2 linked regions of the Ovis aries genome follow. The protein of the gene in region 2 interacts with the protein of the main gene of each other region in a pairwise test. Links are inferred from orthologs where the notes say so. Each region holds a gene or a part of one and is shown on either strand. Other genes may lie near its edges. The genes, in order: PBX2 and PKNOX1.

The links.
Region 1: the proteins of PKNOX1 (region 2) and PBX2 interact in binary tests that used the Homo sapiens proteins (3 or more experiments, as listed by UniProt). The link is inferred for Ovis aries from reciprocal best matches to the Homo sapiens genes PKNOX1 and PBX2.

Annotation. Positions count from the first base shown.
Region 1 is NC_056073.1:26,273,706-26,277,942, reverse strand, and holds the start of PBX2 (pre-B-cell leukemia transcription factor 2), read right to left. Parts: upstream 2,851-4,237; 5' UTR 2,617-2,850; coding exon 2,396-2,616; intron 1,477-2,395; coding exon 1,403-1,476; intron 1,174-1,402; coding exon 926-1,173; intron 825-925; coding exon 634-824; intron 446-633; coding exon 310-445; intron 202-309; coding exon 48-201; intron 1-47. Other genes in the region: GPSM3 (G-protein-signaling modulator 3), read right to left, coding at 4,075-4,212. UniProt on the Homo sapiens protein: Transcriptional activator that binds the sequence 5'-ATCAATCAA-3'. Activates transcription of PF4 in complex with MEIS1.
Region 2 is NC_056054.1:263,884,501-263,888,306, reverse strand, and holds the end of PKNOX1 (homeobox protein PKNOX1), read right to left. Parts: intron 3,469-3,806; coding exon 3,257-3,468; 3' UTR 340-3,256; downstream 1-339. UniProt on the Homo sapiens protein: Activates transcription in the presence of PBX1A and HOXA1.

The sequences.
Region 1 (4,237 bases), on a different chromosome or scaffold from region 2:
AGCAGGAAGTGTGCAGAAGGGCCAGCCAGAGTGGCAGTGGGATCCACCTGCGGAGGAAGGGGGTGTCGGGGAGCTGGTACGGCTGTGGCCTCCCTGGGTGACCGACACAGCGGTCTTCACGGCATAGATGTTTGCCTCCTCTTGGAACTTTCCTATGTTTTTCTTATAGCGAATCCGCTTGTTGCCAAACCAGTTGGAGACCTGCGGGGTGGTGGGCAGAAAGCAGGGTCAGGTGGGAACCTGTTCCTCTGTCAACACCTTAGTTAGAGCTGTGTGCCCTGCAAACACCTCCCCGAGCCTCCCTGGTACCTGAGAGACAGTGATTCCGCACTTCTTGGCGAGCTCCTCCTTAGCCTCCTCACTCGGGTATGGGTTACTCAGGTGGGAGTAGAAATACTCATTCAGAACCTCCGTGGCCTGTTTGCTGAAGTTACGGCGTTTCCGTCTATAGAGGAGAGAGGGGGTGATGAGGAGGGTGCTGGTGTCCTGGCCGCACCATCCTGTTGATTCGCTTCAGAGGGCGCCACTGTCTCGGAGCAGAGTGTTGCGCTGCGCAACACGGTGGCCCCGAGGCTTGGAGAAGAATGGGAAGGAGCTGGGTGCTGGGTGCTGGTTGGGGGCCCTGGGCCCCACCTGGCGTCCAGGAAGCGGGAACGTAGGATCATGACGGCCTCGCAGGTGCTCTGCTTGAGTTGCATCTGGATGGCGCTGAACTTCCGGTGGATGATGCTCACCATGCGCTCCATCTCCTTGGGTGCCACGGGCCGCGTGCGGCTCTGCTCCCTCAGCAGGTTCATGACGTGGGTTGTGAACTCGTTGCACGCCTGCAGTGGGGGCCCCGAGGCTTGGTTAGCAGGAGCCCTTTGGCCCTGGGCATCCCCCTTAAAGGCCTCTCCCTCCACCCACTCTGGCTTCTTCTCCTCACCTGCTCATATTTCTCCAGCTCTGAGTGGTAAATGTGGCGGATCTGGGCAAGTTTGCTGCGATAGTCCGAGTGTTCGATGGAGTTGTCAGGGGACACTCCGCCCCCGGAGGCTGCAGCTGCTGCCGCTGCAGCCGCTGAGCCACCCCCTTTCTCAGGCCCAGCCACACCCTCTGCCAGAAGCATGTTGTCCAAGCGCATCAGCTGTGGATCCACAGGCTCCTCCTCTTGGGAGCTTCGAATGCTGAGGCCTAGCGTGCAGGCGAGTGGACTTAGGGACCCAGGGACCCCACACCCCAGCTCTCAGCCCTCCTGGAGACCCAAGTCTCCAGGCGTGGGTTCCCACCCAAGCCCCCCTTAGCAATCTTCCTGACCCACACTTTCCTCAGGGCCCCAAGTTGTCAAACTCTTAGCCTAAGTTCCACAGGGAACAGGGTTCTGTCCCCAGAGTTGAGGAATCGGAGGAGGGAACTCACGTACCAGTTTTCTCCTTGATTTCACACAGGACGCTAAAGAGAGCAGGCTTCATGCGGTGGCAGTTTAGGGCATGTTTCCTTGGGGAACGGGAGAGAAAAGTTGAGAGGCTATGGAATTGTCAAGGGGGAAAACCAACCACAGGACGACACACCCACGAGGGTAAGAGAGGGGAGCATGGGAATAGGGAGGTGGTGGGAAAATCTGTGGCAAGAAAAAGCAAGGCTGGGGGCCGAATGAAGTCTGGGGGGTTCTTAGGAAGAGTTCAGCTTCCATGCGGAGACAAGGGGAAGCTGCCTGGCTTTGGCTGGAAGGAGGGAAGGTGCCGCCAGCTAAAGGCACCATGGCCAGGTGGGGCCTGTGGGAGACGGTCTAGAAAGGTACAGAAGAGGATGTGGGAATGACTGCAGAAATAAGGGTGACTAGGTAGATTTCAGAGGAAGCCAGGAGGAGGCCGAGGAGAAGGAGGAGGAGATGAGAGTCTGAGGTGCCTGAGGGGGTGAGGGGTGCTGAGCTGAAGTGGGGAGTTCAGTATAGAGAAGTGTGAAGGGTCCTGGGACTGAGCAGGGGCGGAGGGTGCCTGAGGACCTTGGAGGCTGGGCCCTGGGTGGAGAGAAATGGTAGGAGCCCTGGGGAGGGGTCTGGAGAGCCCTAGGAAGAGGGTGGGCTGGAGAGTTAGGGGAGCAGAGAGCACAGCAGGTTTTTAGTCTGGGAGTCAGAAGGGGTCTCTGGAGATGGAAGGATGTTCCAGGGGAGTGTGGGGTGGTTAGGGAGCGGTGGAGGGTGAGACCACCTAGGGTTCCCCTTTTCAAAGGTTTCAGGGACTGGGGGTGAAGGGAGGTCTGAGAGGGATCACTTATCTTGGGGTTCCCGGGAGTAAGGAGAGGACAGCTGTAGTATCCTGGGGAGGGTCCTGAGTTGGGGGCTCCCAGAAGGTTCAGAGACTGTGAACGGGGCTTCTGCTGGGTCTGTGTGGGGTCCCGGGTTGGGGGCACTCACTTGGCCTGGGCCTCGTCCAGGCTCTGGTCGGTGATGGTCATTATCTGCTGCAGAATGTCCCCGATGTCTTGCTTCCCTCGGCCTCCCGGGACCCCCCCGCTACCCCCACCGGGGTCTCCGCCACCGGGAGGTTCGCCAGGGCCCCCAGGCTCCCCACCCACCAATCCAAGGCCCCCCCGGCCCCCGCCTGGAGGGGGCGGCCCCAGCAGCCGCTCGTCCATAGTTGGGGGGGGGGCCCTGAGGCCCCCTCCCTGCTCCGCCCCTCCCCCCCGCCTGGTTACTTCCCCCCCAAACTCGCTGGGGCCGCTGCTCCCTCCGCCCCAACCCCCGCCCGTCTCCCCGGCTCCCGTCTCTCCCGGGGGTTCACCCCGGCCCTGAAGGGAGACCTGGGGTACCGTCTGGGCCCCCCACAGGAGACCCCGGCCCCCGGCGGCGGAGAAAATGGAGCCGGAGAGAGAGAGGAGGCCCAAGCGGGGGTGTGTGAGAGAGAGAGAGGGAGGAGGGAGGAGGGAGGAGGGGGGAGCGAGGGAGGGAGGCTGGGGGAGGGGAGCCGGGGAGGAAGAGGAGGGGAGAAGGGAGGAGGAACAGGGAGGAGCTGGGGGCGGAGAGAGACGCACAGAAACATAGGAACTGAGACCGAGTGGAGGAGGGGACGAGGGCGGAGACTAGCCCGTGGGGAAAAAGAGGGAAGGGCCCAGGGGCTGGACTTCTGTGGCCTTGAAGCGGGGGCGTGTTGGAGGCTGGGGGTTCTTCCACCCGGGTTCTGAATCCGGGATCAAGCTGATGACGACCCTGGCCGCTGGAATGCCTGGGTTCACAGACAGCTTAGTTCATATTTCTTATCCTAATGACTCCCCTCCCTGTTCTACTTAATTAAAACCAGGAGAGGGGGGCTGGGGGGGATAATTAGGGAGGTCTCCAGCCGCTGCTTAATGAGCCAGTAATTAACCAGCCAGGGAGGGGAGCTGGCCTCTGGCCAGACTCGGGAGAGCGGGCAGCCTCCGGCCTCACCTACCTACCCTCCACCCGGCCACCCCAGACACCAGTCTTCAGTCCAGAGGGGGATCACATTTATTCATATAACCAAACATCAGACAGTTCAGAACAGCAGTGGGGAGGGAGGGGGGGCAGGGCTAAATGTCCTTTCACAGCCTGTAGGCCTGGGGCTAGGGGGTGCGGGTGATGGAGATGTGAGAATGGTCTTTATGTCTTGCCGTGCCCTCTCTTCCTTTCTTCTTATTGGGAAGGAGGGTGGAATTCCCAGGTCAAAACCTTGGGAGATTTGCCGTTCTTTTGGGAGATGGAGGACAGAACCCTGAGATCCCACCTGGTAGCTTGACTACTGGGGTTGTTCCCACAGCTCAGGACGGAGACTCTCAGGCACTCCCTGAGATCAGAAGAGAGGGTGAGGTGTCCCACTGAGGCTGGGATCCTCTCATAGCCTCATAACACACTTGGTTATGGCGGGAGTTATTATCCATCCTACCTTGGCTATTCCTAGGCTTTGAGACTTTCGCCCGCTCCACTTCCCAGGAAAGGTGGATGAGGGTGATGAATATTGAGATTTCTGCTGGGTCTTCCAGTCTCTGGTGCTCCTCCCCAGCAGGGGTGAGGGCATGAGTGGGGCTGCCCAGCTTTTGAGCCCCAGGAATGCAGAGGGGGTGGTGGGGGCTCAAGTCTCAGCAGGTGTGTGTGGGGGGCCGGGACCTTTGCTCCTCCATTCGACCCCCACCCTGAACTCTCAGCAGCAACTCCAAGAGCTCCTGCCCCCCTGGGGGTAGAGGAGGCTCTGACCGCTGGGCTTCCATCCGCTGGCACTGGAGGAGTAGAGGAAGAGGAGGT
Region 2 (3,806 bases):
AAAGGTAATACCTTACCAGTGAATTGTTTTCTTCTCATTACTATCAGAATAATTAGATTTATGGTGAACTACAATAAAAAACAAACTGAAGCTTTCCTTTTTTTTTTTTTTCCTGGAAAACCAGTGACTACCTCAAGAAACTTAGAAAACATTCTTGAAGATGCAAATGGGCCTGAGTGCTCCAGGGTGGTGCAATCCTAATTTTTTAGAATCTGTGGGGGTCGCGACAAACCCCAAGTGTCACCAGCAAACATGTCAACATCTGAATGTTGTCCTTAAAATGCAAAAGCATCTGCGGTGACATGAGTTTTAGAAAATAAAACGTCCATGAAGCATGTTTGTTTTTAATTTTTTTGCTTTGATAAATCAGTTGCTTCACAAAAATCCCTTTCAAAGACAACAATCCAAGAAAACATTGTTACAGCATTCACATTTAAAGATTGTCAGTTCACAGACCAGACAGAACTAAATTAGGAGAGGGTGGCGGGGTTTTTTTTTTCTGTCCCTAACTGCCAGAGGCAGGCCATTCTCGCCTTCCTGGGATGTCTCAGCTTGTCTGAAAGAAAAGGTACTCCCCCACTTTCTCACCCCGGTAAGAGTCAAGTCAGGTCGTGGGCAGGTTATGTGGAGAAGACTCTGGGACTCAGGCCACGGCGACTCCAGCATCAGGGCCCTGTGGTCTTTGAGCGAGCTGGGGCCGTGGCCCACCTTACATTGCACGCTGGACAAACACTTACACTGTTTATTTCTGGAATCAGAACGCGAAAGCTGCGTTACTGCAGCAGCTGGAGCGTGGCTGGACATGGCCCAGCCATCTGCTACCCACTCAAGAGCTGACAGCAGGTAACACGACACTTTCAACCTGGATTGCAAGACACAGTCAAAACCATCCTTCAGGGAAAAGAATTTAACAAGAGCAAATTCCTTTAAGATGAGAGCTCAGCAGGGTTGTGCTCTCACAGATGCTCTTAAAACCCCAGGGGCTTAGAAATGGGTCTTTATTAGGTGCCAGCTAACTACCAATGTCCCAGACAGTGGCTTATGAGCCAAAATAGTCTGCCTGTTGGGTTAAGATCCCATCAGTTGCTCATGGGAAGAGCTTGAAATGCCCCCTCTCGAATGATCTTTATCCTAGTCCTCTGAATGTAGCGACCAGGATGCAGACTCCAGCTGCAGGGAGCAGGGACTGCGACCCTAGGCACCGACTGCCGGACCCCAACATGGCCCTGCTGTGGCCCCATGTCCATGCTGCTGCAGCCTGTGGAGCCCGAGCCCTGAGCCCCGGCTCCAACGAACAGGGTTTCTGCTTGGGGAAACTGACCTGGAGTGACCGCAGGTCGTGGTCACCAACCTGAACCTGAGGTCAGAGGGACAGAGGGAGGCGAGGGAGGGAGGAGGTGGCTGGCCAGCTTCCACAGGGTCTCATCTTAAATCCTAACTTTGTTGGACTTAAAACAATCTTTCAAACTAGTATAGTTTAAAAGATGTGACTTAAAAAATATAAAATTGTTTAAAAGGAACACAATAACTGCTTAAAAATGTTATTTTCTCCCCCAAAAGAAAGTCAAGTTTTTCTTTTAAATCTCCTGAAATATTTTAAAAGAAATTCCTCTGTATTTCTTGCTTCCTTCTAAGTTATCCAGGAAGTATTCTCCTATGACTAACTTTAATTATTAATAATTTGGGAAGAAAAAGTCAGTTCCAGAAAAAAAATCTGCACTTGCTCAAAACACCCCTGGGTAGCCTTGGTCCACAATCAATTACTATCGCTGCTTTTCAGGAACTGACGACCATTAGACTGTCCTTCAGGGCTTCAGGTGTCCCCACTGATGGTGATGCAGAGACGTCTTCTGTGAAACCAGGTCCTGCTTCCTCTCTGAGAAAAAGCCTCACTTGAAAGTAAACTGGCAGATGCAAATCCGAACCCAGGGAAACAAACCCAGCCTGCTCTGTGGTCCGCCTGGTCACCAGGAGCCGAAGTCCCACCATTATCCAGAGGTGATGTGATCAAGTCAGAGGAAGAACCACCAACCGAGTGATGCCGAGCCGCCACCGCCGCCCCACCCCCAGGCCCTGCTGGTTCCTGTCCGTCCTGCAGTGGATGTGCACTAATTGTGTAACAAAGCCGAGGGTCTGCTCTTTGCCTGCTCTGAGCCGACAGGAGGGACACTTGATAGTAGTTTATGACACACTTCCTATGCATAACATACGCTGACCGAAAGCTCCCAAGACAACACCCAGCTAACACGGCACACCACCACTTAGCCGTGGTCAGACTTAAATTAGACGGAAACAGTCAGCAAAAGCTTTTAACTGACCGCTGGCTACCACTTCTTAACTTACCTAAGCCCTACTTAGCACACACCTTGAGACGTACGTTTAGATAAAGTGTAAACTGCAATCTGAGCGACATATTGACTAGAATTTGAAGATATCAAAATTTCATTAAATAGACGTTTCTTTTATAGTAGAAAATGTGAATTACTACCCGGGAGAGCAGAGAACCAGAATACTAGCTAACTGGGGGCAGGTTCTTCCAATTTGGCCAACTCAGAACCTTTCAAATTGAGACAGTCAGTAAGTGTGCACTGTTTCTCCTCTAGAATTTACCCTTGACATAGTCATAATCCAATTCATAAGGAATTTATAAAAATAGCTTTTTATCCAATAATTCCAGCAAGGTAAAAATAGGAGTTTCTTTTCATATATAGCAAATGACACAGGCTCACGGAACATGAGGACGGAACCACATTTGAGTCGCAAACATTCGCCACAGGTCACACGCGGTTTATTGTGCTGTCATCCGCCTCACACGGGCGGCCTCCAGGTGCAGAGGCTTCTTCCTAATCCCGGGGCTGACAAGTAAACCAGCCCCCAGAGACCTGCCTTAACCACAGAACGAAATTAAAACTGCATAATTGTTCAGAAAATGGCAGCACTAGTCCTTAATCTAATTAGGGGCTCATGGGGTGGGGGGGAGGTGTTTGTCATTCATCACATTTTTAGCGTTAAACCTTTGAAGAATCTCCTTAAAAACACACGCACACACACACACGTGTGCACACACACACACACACACACACGCACACACACACCTTGAAAGAAGAAGTCGCTGCACCGGCAAAGACGGCCTGGAAGCTTACTATGAAATACAAAAGTGCACTCTTCTATGCCTACATATAAAACATATTAGAAATAAAACTGTGTAAAATGTTTGCTGTGCAAACTATAAAAAGGGGTGCCGGGCGGCCGGGCCCTACTGCAGGGAGTCGCTGTTCTCCAGGACCAGCCCGCCCAGGTGGCCGGGCGCCAGCGCAGCCCCGCCATCCCCTGTGCTGTCCACTGAGTCATCCTCGCTCTGCTCGGCCATCATCACCTGCTGCACCGCCAACGTGGCCCCGTCTGATGACAGGGACTGCAGGCTGTCCACGTTCATGCTCACCGGCGCGGTGATGGTCACGACGGCCCCTGTGGCACAAAGAGGCGTCACCATGCCATCGGGGTTCAGCCCGCTGGGCTGCACAGCCTGTCTTCCCCCGGCTGTGTTTCTGGGACCATCCACAGGGATTTAAGGAATGTTTCTAGGATCGTCCCAGACCCTGCAAAGCTAAGCTCTCTGTCTAGAAAGGGTCTGAGGGTCAGGACGGTAAAGGGGACAGACACCTGGGATGGAAAGCAAGAGTCACACAGAGGACAAGGGACCCAGGACACAGGGGAGAGGCCACAGGCAGGGGTCAGGGGGGAAGGAGGTCAGAGGACGGCAGGCCAGTCTGCGAGGGAAAGAGAACACCTGAGACACACTCTCC